Schizosaccharomyces pombe: one gene and its partners. Changing the gene in region 1 together with any one later gene gives a genetic interaction. Each region holds a gene or a part of one and is shown in the gene's direction. Other genes may lie near its edges.

Region 1 (4,269 bases):
AAACCATAGGAACTAACGGAAGTCGAAGTGGGAGGATAAAAAACTTGATGATAAACAGTACTTGGCGAGGGCAATTCCATTGGAGAAGGCATGTCGCTAGCGGCAAATAAATGCTGAACAGAATTTTGGTCTTTAAGTAAATTTGAATACATACTCTGCTGAAAGTGATTATTCAACACAGGTTTATTAGTTAACATGTTGTTTTGAGAAACAACTCTTGGAAAAGAAGCAGATGGATTTTTTGGATCCAATCCAAGGTAAGCAAAAGGATCGAAACTGTTATTATCATGCGATAAACGAGAATTGCTGCTTTGAATGGGGGGATTAAGAGGAAGGTTCGACACAGGAGGAAGTTGAATTGGAGATTTAGGTTCATTTCCTTCATTTAATAAATGCAAGATTTTCTGTTTAATGTCAAAAGAAGAATGTGATTCAACTGGTGGCTGAGGAAAAGTTGAAGGTTGCGGAGTAGCAAGGTCTGAAGGTGCTGTCGAAGATTTCAAAAGAGAAAGCAGTTGGGAAGAAGCATCAGCATCAACATCAACGGAAATGTTCTTTTCTTTGGTAGTGTTATTGGCAATATTCCTCTTCTTAATCCATTTCTTCAATGGCGCCAAAAATGGGATTACCATGTAAAATTTGTTTTTCATGGTCTGAGGTTTATTTTTTTTGAATGTAGGAAGATCCATAAGATTATGCCATTCAATTTTACTAATTTCTTTTCTTGTACGAGATTCAAATCTTGTATCCAAAGATATTCCAGGAATAATATACAATCGAACGTTTTGTCCACGTATAGTCATATCAATAAATTCATTAGGATTTATACGGCTAGAACAGTCAAAGCCTGTTTCTTCATATACTTCACGAATAGCACAATCAACATCAGATTCATCTTTATCAATTTTTCCCTTAGGAAATCCCCAGCCGGATGATGCTTTCCATCCTTTGACAAGTACGCATTGCTGCATTGACATATCAAGCATTATAGCTCCGCGGACAGGAATACGAGTCTTATATCGTAAAAAATCATCAAACGCCTCTTCATGGACCTTACTCCACTTCCACAATAAAGGACAGTGAGCAAAAAGCTTTGCACTAAAAACACGCAAACCTAGTGATGGCAACTGATCGTTTTGCGCACGTATAAAATCTTCATAAAACCAATGAGCTTGTTCGATTTGAAAACAAAGTCGTTCAACGCTACTTTGCTCCTCTGCTGGTAAATTCAAGATAAATCTAGCTGATAAATCATCCAGCACTTGCGAAAACGTGGCATTTGTGAACGACATATTTCTTTTAATATATAGTAGTCTATTGTTTGCATTTAAAATTCTAAGTCACTCCAAAGCACGACAAATTCGTCAACTTTAATTTTTGTGCGTCTTGGTATTTAAAGCCATTTATGCGTGTGCGTATAACACAGAGTTAGGGACACGTAAAATTACGTACCAACCTTCGTTAGTGATAAACTAAACCATTATTGATTTAGGAATGTATCACACTGCGCTATACTATTGCTCAATCCTTGTTTCATTAAACTGTTAGACTGTAGTTAAAATCACAATTTGCCTTACCTTTAGGTCTTTCGAGAATTTATTTATCCACCAAAAACTTGTTTAATATTCTACAGAACTGATTGAAAATATAAAAAAGCGAATTAATTTTTGCTAAGTACATAAAATCATATGCGAGTTATTTTGGTTATAGGTCGCTCTAATTCTGGAAAGCTAGATTTTATTAAGGGTAAATATTAGTGTTCTATTTGCAATTACTAATTGAAAAGCTTTGACGGGTTCTTTACCGAAGGGGTTAGATGACGAGGCATTTAACAATGATCATTCTGGCTTGATTCATAAGTATAATATCAGAAATAAATATTTTGAAGCTTCGGTTGGTATTTGGATTGAAGAATATTCTAATTTAGCTGAAACTTTGGATGCTTATAGTTCTGAAGAAGCGAAGGAAGTTATTGATAGCTTAGGTGCCATTGTATATACTTTTCGAAGTTTTGATGAAGCTGAGTGGTCTCTTTTTAAAAATTTTATAGATAAACTACAGCTAGAGATTCCGGTAATTGGGTTGCACATGTCAGATGAAAAATTACTAGAACCACCTGATGTGTTTACCCCAGAATATATTTCTATCAGCGAGGAAGGAGTGAATGAATTCAATGGTAAAGTCAACCAATCTTCTATTTATTAACAAGTCTCTTTAGAGAAAGTAGGACTGGACCGTGTTCGAGAAATTCTCGATTGCTGCGAATGGAACTTGTCACAAGTTGATAAAAGTTTCTCGGAAGAAAAGGATGATGCCGGAGATTTCTATCTCCCGGAACGATTCAAAGGAAGTCCAGACATGCAATCGACGGATCTGGATAATTTGATGAAAGAAATGAACCAAATTAGAGGTTGGTAACTCCTTGAGTCGACTAAACTAACAACGAAATTTAGATGCTGACCTGGAAAAAAATGAGAAAAAGGCCAAGGCTTTAAATCTTTTAGAAAAATTGTTAGGCGATGAATTCGAGGAAAATGATTATGAATCGCTGTAGAAACAAGGCCTTTGTTCGTATCCGGAGAATACATGTTGTCGCTGGAGCACAAATTGATGTATAATAACTATTTGAGTTTGCAAGAAAGGTTCAATTAAGTTTTATCAAAGTATTTTTTACTAAAATCTAAATCTGCTGTATTGAAAGAGGACCTATTAGCAACTTAAAAAAAATTCGTAAGTAAAGCTCAGTCACAAATTGTGATAATTTTGGTCGTATTTCATTATTATAGACATTATAAATCCAACACAATGGACTACATTTTCAATGTACAAGGTTCGTCAATAAAATAATTCCCACATGGCATTTTTCGTATTTAAATAACGGCCACAGTCATTCACTAGACATTTTGACTGAGATCGTTTACTGGTTTTCAAAACTTTTGCACAAGAGCCACAATAGACGTGACCACACTTTGTTGCCCATAATGCAGATTTCTCTTTGCTTTTGGATGTTCCTAATGGTTCCTGACATCTTGGACAAACCATCAATGTATCATTGTTAAAGCTTCTAGTAAATCCAGATTTTGGAGGGCCTGGAGGCTTGTAAGACTGTTTTATATTTTCTAAAGAAGAAGTAAAATCATCATATGATTCTTCAAAATGGTTAGAGAAATATTCGTCGTCTGAACCGTTAGTCCATTCTGGATGTATAGCGTCAAATCTCATTCGGTTCACAATCAACTGGAAAAGAGAAGGGGATAAGGAATTAACAGAACTAAACTCAGGAAATGTCCTGGCAATCATTCCCATCAAATCTCGACGTGAAGAAGAACGACGAGTGGACACCTGAGGACCTAAGTAAATCATGTCTTCCAAATACGATAAATGATTTGAAGGAAAGTTACGAGACCGTTCATTCCTTCTCCGGTTCATACGCCTTCTTCGAGGACTTAGAACAGGAGATGATGGAAAGCTGTCATCAGGAATAGCATCCAAATCAATGATATTTGTTGAAGAAATAGAAGTTTCGACTGGTGGAGAAGGTGATCTCGTCAAATCAATTACACTGCTTTCATCTATTCCATTGCTTCCATTAAATTGCATTGATGTGTGAAAAAAGATACACAATTGTTTCCTGTCAAGTAATTGACAACGGGCAAAAAATTAAGTCGATTTATTTGTATATATTTTGGCCTTGCATATATTAACGAAACGGTATTATTTAATATAAAGCTCTAATGTATTGCTGTATATCAAAATACCGCAGACCAACAGTTCGGTGCATTTTTAAGGCAATGTCCAGTATGCTTTATTATTTATAAACTAATGGCTAGTAAAGAAACGTAAATTAGAAGTCGCATTTCTTTGTTTACACATTATCTTTATAAAAAGGAAATGACCTTATGTGATAATTTACTGAGAAGATCAAACGCCAAAGAAGATATGGCGAATAGAGGAATTTTACGAGCTTAATTTAGCAAGAAGAACCAAAAAAATATGCCTCTAGTAGACGATATGGATTTTTTATTAAAGCACAGAAAATGAATTTAAAATACTAGACGATATTTGATAGTACAATTGTTGAAGAATTAGGATTGTATTTATTAAATCCGCTAGATTCTGAAGTTAAACTTTCACAAATGAGTAATTGGAACATCAGCGCTTGAATATCAAGTTCCTGTCTTGAATTTTTTTGAGTATAAATATGATAAATCAAATAATGGATAACACTGCTTTTAGACCAGCATCAAAAGCGAGCGACATTAACAAAGA
Region 2 (4,435 bases), 1.7 Mb from region 1:
CCTTCGATGCCTTCAATTGGTTCTGTGGAGTTGGGAAATATGATTCCTAAGGAAACCCAGCCGCCCTCAATGCGAAATGATTGGAAAGATTATTTAGATAATAATTCCAAGGAAATTCTCGATCAATTTGGTTTTTTACAAAAACGACCAAGTCACGACACCCCTTTATGTCCGGAGGACATAAAATTAAATCAGAAACAGACTCTGTCGTTCTATGAAAGCAATTATGGCTTGGTTGATGATTTTTTTGGCAACGAGTTAGATGGGCTCAACGATTCTCCATTGTTGCTAAATAAAAAAGATATTTTATTGGATATGAAAGAAAGTACCCGACAAAAAAACTGGAGCTTGTTTTTTCAACGCTTGTACAAAAAATATAAAATTACCGATGAGGATACAATTGGTTTACTAGGAATATCTAGCATAGGTGTTAAAGGGCGTCATGGTAAAAAAAGATGGCATAAATTTCGTGAACTTGTGAAAAATGGTGTTCCTTTGTGCTATAAAGCTAAAGTTTGGTTAGAGTGCTCAGGCGCTTATCAATTACATTCACCTGGCTATTATGAAGAACTATTATCACGTACTGATGAGGTTGAATCAGCGAGTGTTGCGCAAATCGATATGGATATTAACAGGACTATGGCTAAAAATGTATTTTTTGGAGGAAAAGGACCTGGAATCCCGAAATTACGACGAATTTTAGTTGCTTATAGCCGCCACAATCCACACATAGGCTATTGTCAAGGAATGAATGTTATTGGTGCCTTTCTTCTTTTATTATATGCTTCAGAAGAAGACGCGTTTTATATGCTAATGAGCATAATTGAAAACGTTTTACCTCCGAAATACTTTACTCCTGACCTGATGACTTCGCGAGCTGATCAGCTGGTTTTGAAAAGCTTTGTGAAAGAGTCATTACCGGAAATCTATTCCCATTTAGAATTACTTGGGGTTGATTTGGACGCCATTTCATTTCATTGGTTTTTAAGTGTATATACTGATACACTCCCTACGAATGTACGATAAGTGGTTTTGAAAGATTATTAAAGTATGAATTGTTTACTAACTACTTTTTTTTAGATATCTTTTAGAATATTTGACATGTTGTTTTGTGATGGTTATGTATGCTTATTTAGAGTTGCACTTACGATTCTAAAATCTTTAAAGCAACAAATTTTAGCATGCAATTCCTCTTCTGCCATCTACTCATTTTTGAGTGATTTGGTTCAATACTCTTTTCAACCCGATTCGTTTATTAAAGAGGCTGCTGATCGGTGGTCCAAACTTGTTACGGAAAAGAGTATTGAACGGAAACGTAACTTGGCTATTTCTTCGTTAAACTTAGCGGTCAATTATTGAGTTCTTTGTTTTGTTTTACTGGTTTGATTCGTGATCGTTGGTAAGTTATGATCTTTAATAAATAAAAAAGCTTTTTGTTGCCTCATGGGCATCTTATTCATTTTTATGTTGGGTTACTCATGAATATAATTTTTTAATGTTTTCCATCACTGTATACTATGACTGGGTTATTTTAATGCTGTTTCAGGAGTCCATTTCATTATAATTTGGAAGTATAGAATGTAAAATCTTTTTTGAAAACTCTTGTATGAAGCTAGGCAATCCATGCATAACTTTCACTTATAGTTTTTGATTTGTTTGGTTTAATAAACATAGACAGATTCTTGCTCTTCATATATTTTCCTGTATGCTATATAAACATTGCTCTTACGGTTTGTGAGGTACAACGATCGATAACGCAGTCGGTTATATTTCTAGTATATCATAAGTGTCAGTGTCTCAGTAATGTCATCCGGTGTACTTTCCGCCATACACAAAAATATCAGTGGAATTGAATTGTATTGCGACCGACTCGTAGCACTTTCAAAAGCAAATGAATGAACTTCATGATGGTGAGAGCTCTGAGGAAGGAAGGATCAATGTTGAAGATCACCTAGAAGAAGCTAAGAAAGATGACACAGGACACTGGAAACATTCCGGCACTGCCAAGCCATCCAAGTTTCGAGCCTTCATAAGGCTGCATTTTAAGGATAGCAGAAAGTTTGCTTTTTCTCGAAAGAAGGAAAAAGAATTGACGTCGGAAGATAGCGATGCTGCAAATCAATCACCTTCTGGTGCACCTGAGTCGCAGACCGAGGAAGAGTCTGATCGCAAAATTGATGGCACTGGTAGTTCCGCAGAAGGTGGTGACGGGAGTGGTACTGATTCAATTTCCGTAATAAAAAAATCGTTTTTTAAAAGTGGGAGGAAGAAGAAAGATGTTCCCAAGTCGCGAAATGTTTCTCGTAGTAATGGTGCTGATACCTCAGTTCAGCGAGAAAAGTTAAAAGATATTTTCAGTCCTCATGGGAAGGAAAAAGAATTGGCTCATATTAAGAAAACTGTTGCAACGAGAGCGAGAACATATTCTTCCAACTCTATCAAGATATGTGATGTTGAGGTTGGTCCATCTAGCTTTGAAAAGGTTTTTCTACTTGGCAAGGGAGATGTCGGTCGAGTTTATCTTGTTAGAGAAAAAAAGTCTGGCAAATTTTATGCCATGAAAGTTTTGAGTAAGCAAGAAATGATTAAACGCAACAAAAGCAAACGAGCTTTTGCAGAACAGCACATTCTTGCGACAAGTAACCACCCATTCATTGTTACACTTTATCATTCTTTTCAATCTGATGAATACCTTTATTTATGTATGGAGTATTGTATGGGAGGTGAGTTTTTTCGAGCTTTGCAACGACGTCCTGGCCGTTGTTTATCAGAAAACGAGGCCAAATTTTACATTGCAGAAGTTACCGCTGCATTAGAATACCTCCACTTGATGGGATTTATTTATAGAGATTTGAAGCCTGAAAATATTTTGTTGCATGAGTCAGGACATATTATGCTTTCTGATTTTGATTTATCTAAACAATCAAACTCTGCCGGTGCACCAACGGTAATTCAGGCCAGGAATGCACCATCCGCTCAAAATGCTTACGCATTGGATACAAAATCATGTATCGCAGATTTTCGCACAAATTCATTTGTCGGCACAGAAGAGTATATTGCTCCAGAAGTTATCAAGGGTTGTGGTCATACAAGCGCTGTTGACTGGTGGACTTTGGGTATTTTATTTTATGAAATGCTATATGCCACGACTCCTTTCAAAGGTAAAAATAGAAACATGACTTTTTCGAATATTTTACACAAGGATGTTATATTCCCTGAATATGCGGATGCTCCTTCAATTTCCAGCCTTTGCAAGAATTTGATTAGAAAATTATTAGTGAAAGATGAAAATGATCGCCTTGGGTCACAGGCTGGTGCTGCAGACGTGAAGCTTCATCCTTTTTTTAAAAATGTCCAATGGGCTCTATTAAGGCACACTGAGCCTCCGATTATTCCAAAGCTTGCCCCTATTGATGAAAAAGGCAATCCTAATATTTCCCATCTAAAGGAAAGTAAAAGTTTGGATATTACTCATTCTCCCCAAAACACACAAACAGTTGAAGTTCCCCTATCTAATTTATCGGGTGCAGATCATGGAGATGATCCCTTCGAATCGTTTAATTCAGTTACTGTGCATCATGAGTGGGATTAGGTCATTTTCTTTTCTTCCTGTAACTTGCATATTGATGGTAATTTTTCGCACGTCTATGATATTTTTCTCATCTTTTTGTTTAATCAATCCATTATTAAAAGAGCATTTGCTGACTTCATTCATTGCATATATTGATACGTTGTTGAGGCACAAAATATTTCGCTTAACTAGATTCTCCTTTTCACCACAAAGTCTTTCTTTTTTCTACCTTACTTTTACCAGATTCAGACATGCTTTCTCTATTTTCAATAGGAAGTTAAATAAACTTCTAGACAGAATATAACATATACCATTCTAATAACATATTTTGTAAAATAACCAAAAACCACCTTAACAAAATTACCATTAACTAAACCGTCTCTATATCGTAAACGATATGTGACACTCGTGGTGAAAATGATTTGACACAATTTGTAACACAAACTGTATTTTTAGCCAACATTTTTGAAAAACATGAATTCACTTCAGAAGAGTATGTTTCGATATCTTCATCTTTTACGTTCTCATGAACATGTATAAAGGAATGTGATTCTCGCTTTAAAATTGAAGTAGCGGTTGACCAGGATTTTTCACTAGAGGGGAGCATTCCCAAATTTATATGTCGAGCAGAAATATTCATTTTGGAGAACCTTTCAGCTGCATAAACGTTGCTTTCCAAAAAAACTACAATACGATGAGTTCCTACTTTAAATTCATAGTTTTCTCCATTTCGAACTACATAAATAGACCAGCCATTTTTCAAAGCAGCTCTCCTTAACGCTTCAACACTCCATGGATTAATTTCCCAGCAAAAAACTGTTGAAGCTCCCGCTTTAACGTAAGAAAATGTAAAGTACCCTATAC
Region 3 (3,538 bases), on another chromosome or scaffold:
TGATTTAAGTAGTAGTAGTAGTAGTAGCAGTACGTTGGTTGAATGGGCAAAACCGAAAGACGCGACTACCAGCATGTCGATGACAGCCGGGAATGTCGTATTTGGTAATAATTCTTTAAATATTCGGTTTTGCTAATCTAATTTAGTTGGTAACATTCCATATGATGTTTCGGAACAGCAAATGACTGAAATCTTTAATCAAGTTGGACCAGTAAAGACTTTCAAACTTGTACTTGATCCGGAAACAGGTAGTGGGAAGGGTTATGGGTTTTGTGAGTTTTTTGATAGTGAGACTACCGCTATGGCTGTACGAAAGTTAAATAATTCCGAATTAGGACCTCGTAAGATTCGTGTCGAGTTTCCATCAAATGATCCCAGAAGGAATCAAAGTTATGAATATACGGAGCGTACTGATAGATACATGGAACAGCAAAATGCTCATGAAAGTTCTTATAATTCCCGTTTTATTCCTCCTGTTTTGCATTCAACATCTTCCCTGCCTGCTTCACAAGGAGGTGGGATGCCAAGTCCTGCTATTTATTCGTCGTCAATGGCTACTAATCTTAATAAAAATATAAATTCTACTTCTGTTCCTGCTTATAATTTTCACAACAGTATGACCTCCGACTTTGATTCTGCCAGTCAACCCCATACAGATGCATACAATGCAAGAACCTTTCAGTATAATAAATCTTCACAAAACAAAGGGGATTACACTTCCGGGACTTCTATATCGAATCCGACTTCTATCCCATTGGCCCCGTCTGTCGTTCAGGTACTATCTACCTTCTCAGCTCAGGAACTTCTCAATATGTTGTCCAAACTTCAGACTGTAGTTCATATAGCACCAGAAGAGGCACGACGACTTCTAATTGCTAATCCTGCTTTACCATACGCCGCCTTTCAAGCTATGTTGCTGATGAACTTAGTTGACGCAAATGTCTTACAACAAGTAGTAGTCGCAGTGAAGAATAAAAACATGCATCAACCAGCTTCAGCAACTTCCTCTCCTCCTTCTGTTCCCCAAAAAATACCTTCTAGTAACCATAAAAGTCAACAAGCGAATGGTTCAGATCAGGGCAATGAAGGGAAGCGGGTACGTTTTTTTTTTTTTTTTTGCACTAACAAAACAGATGGCCCTCATACAACAATTGTTGGCTCTTACCCCAGAGCAAATTAACGCATTACCTCCTGCACAAAGGGATCAAATTCTTAGCATTCGTCGGCAGCATTTTCGACAGTAAGTCTAATTTTAGTAATATCAAGAGATTAAATATTAGCATTTGACCAAGTACTTAAATTTGGTGTGCAAGATAATTTATTTACAACACTATAAACCATATCCTAGCACTGATACCTTTTCATACTACACACTTCTTTATACTATTCGGATGTTTTGCTTCTCATAAATATTTGTTTCTATACGCGTTATGGAGGGCTATTTCTTGGATCCTTTATTCAATATCCTTTTATAAAAATTTACTCAATCAATATTTCATATTAAAATTTATTATTTTTTATATTTTAAACTGCCCTTTTGATCGTAAATATATTATAAAAATGTAGGTGGTAACATCAACTGATACTTCTCAAATAAATATGCAACTCATAAATTCCCAAAAAGTTCAATTTCTTAAAAAAAATTTAGATCACAGGTTTAAAATTGTAGTTCAATTTTTCCAACTACGAAGTGTCAGCACTGGCTCATGCAAGCTTCCAAGTACAGACTACATAATTACAGTTTAGGAAATTGAAAACCATCGAAAATGAATAATCCTATGGAAGAACAGCAAAGCGCATTATTAGGAAGGATCATAAGTAATGTAGAAAAGCTGAATGAAAGTATTACAAGACTCAATCATTCATTACAGGTAAGATTACGACGTCAAATATTTGTGTACATATCAACTTTCCGCTGACATTCTTAAAGCTAATTAATATGTCTAATATGAATGTTGAGCTAGCTAGTCAAATGTGGGCGAATTATGCAAGAAACGTAAAATTCCACTTGGAAGAGACCCATACGCTTAAAGATCCCATCTAAAGTTATATGATGTTCTTTAATATTTGTGCTAACGAAATTTGCTATAAAGCACAAGCAAAATTAATATAACAAGGATTGCAATTATTGCTGTCGTGAAAAATCTGTTCATGGCAAGTCTTTAAAATGAGTTAGTATAAAAGATCATTACATGACGATTCATATCACTATAATAATGTCTATCTGTGTCCTACCTTCTTGCCATTGTCTTCAGAGTTCTTAAACTTCGATCAAGGTGTCCAGACGTATCTCCAAGCTAATTTGGTTAACAAATCTCAAAGAAATTTATACATAGCATAAAAGAAAACTATATTTTTAAACCATGGAGCTAATAAGCTTGGCTAAGATATGCGTATAAATCGCGCATTTTATCTTATCAATCATAGTGATTCATTTATCTATTTTGCAATAATTACTTACCATCTCTAAAGAATGCTCCAATTGATTTCTTTGACCATGAAGATCACGAAGAATGCTAGCACCAATGCCTTCAGTCTCATTCGCAATCCGTTGTGATTCAAGAAGACGCTGTGAAGATTGCTCAAGTCTATTTGTTCCTTGTAACAAACGAGTTCTTTGGTCATAATCTTGATCACTTGCAATATAATCACCGGATGTTTCATCCCTATTTCCAAAAAGGGCTTTCCTATCTGATTTGCCAATTTCTTCCTTCTAAACGAGAAAATTGTTAGTATGAATTTGGTAAATAAAAGTAGATTGTCTCATAGTAATTTCTGTAAAGCTTCAAAAGAAGAATGTTCGATATAGCTAACTTACCAGGTGTCTACGCCACTCCTCCAAAGTTGAACGATAACTACGAATTCTTCCATTTACGAGACCTCTTTCAGAAGTAGGGATACCGGTAATTTCAATTTCCATTTGACCAATCTGCAAGTTAGCCACTTTTTTAAAAACACAAATTATTCCAACATACTACTTCATCAATTTCATTTAAAAGTCTCTGACATGATTGAATAACAGAGTTCTCACCACTTTTACTTAAATCATTAAGTTTTTCTTCGATATCTGCTCGAAGCAAGCTAATTATTAGTAAACTTGTAATGGTATTAGACATACCGATATTCTTGCTCGTACGTCTCCATATTTAACAATTATTAATATTGATATATTAGATTTCTTGAAACTATCGTGTAAACAGTTTCTCAAATGAATTAAAAATAAAATAGGTGTAGGTTAAGATTAAATGGTTACGTTGGGAATCGAATACCCATAACAGGTAGTCATATTAATTAAGGCGTGTGTAGAGAGGAATCTACTAAAGCGAAAGAAAAATACAATGTTAAAAGGAATGAATATTAATTAGATAGTGTACAGTTATTATTCCTATGATTCATCAAACCATTTAGTCAATTCTTCTGATAATTCGTCAAATTCGTTTTTCCAGTATAGTAAGCTAGAACCAGATTCTTCATAAACATCACGTACAATGTAACCGTCCATCTCAGCTTGATAAAGTCTTTCTAACGTTACACCAAT

The links. A genetic interaction does not mean that the proteins touch.
Region 2: mutations in irc6 (region 1) and ppk14 together harm fitness less than expected from each alone (positive genetic interaction), as found in Schizosaccharomyces pombe (one large-scale study listed by BioGRID).
Region 3: mutations in irc6 (region 1) and dad4 together harm fitness more than expected from each alone (negative genetic interaction), as found in Schizosaccharomyces pombe (one large-scale study listed by BioGRID).

The regions. Positions count from the first base shown.
Region 1 is NC_003424.3:2,463,660-2,467,928, forward strand, and holds irc6 (recombination protein Irc6), read left to right. Parts: upstream 1-1,565; 5' UTR 1,566-1,688; coding exon 1,689-1,746; exon of another isoform or gene 1,747-1,786; coding exon 1,787-2,176; exon of another isoform or gene 2,177-2,218; coding exon 2,219-2,410; exon of another isoform or gene 2,411-2,453; coding exon 2,454-2,554; 3' UTR 2,555-2,835; coding exon of another isoform or gene 2,836-3,600; 3' UTR 3,601-3,769; downstream 3,770-4,269. Other genes in the region: mRNA-decapping complex catalytic subunit Dcp2, read right to left, coding at 1-1,292; SUMO-targeted ubiquitin-protein ligase subunit Rfp1, read right to left, coding at 2,836-3,600.
Region 2 is NC_003424.3:768,732-773,166, forward strand, and holds ppk14 (serine/threonine protein kinase Ppk14), read left to right. Parts: upstream 1-1,808; 5' UTR 1,809-1,891; coding exon 1,892-3,592; 3' UTR 3,593-3,935; downstream 3,936-4,435. Other genes in the region: SPOM_SPAC4G8.04 (GTPase-activating protein), read left to right, coding at 1-1,017, 1,081-1,359; tRNA 4-demethylwyosine alpha-amino-alpha-carboxypropyltransferase Trm12, read right to left, coding at 3,942-4,435.
Region 3 is NC_003423.3:4,004,563-4,008,100, reverse strand, and holds dad4 (DASH complex subunit Dad4), read left to right. Parts: upstream 1-1,718; 5' UTR 1,719-1,766; coding exon 1,767-1,871; intron 1,872-1,899; exon of another isoform or gene 1,900-1,930; coding exon 1,931-2,044; 3' UTR 2,045-2,072; coding exon of another isoform or gene 2,073-2,160; 3' UTR 2,161-2,235; coding exon of another isoform or gene 2,236-2,297; 3' UTR 2,298-2,461; coding exon of another isoform or gene 2,462-2,713; 3' UTR 2,714-2,818; coding exon of another isoform or gene 2,819-2,929; 3' UTR 2,930-2,975; downstream 2,976-3,538. Other genes in the region: cleavage and polyadenylation specificity factor complex subunit Ctf1, read left to right, coding at 74-104, 147-1,096, 1,134-1,244; SNARE protein Vti1, read right to left, coding at 2,073-2,160, 2,236-2,297, 2,462-2,713, 2,819-2,929, 2,976-3,081, 3,119-3,144; ESCRT II complex subunit Vps36, read right to left, coding at 3,386-3,538.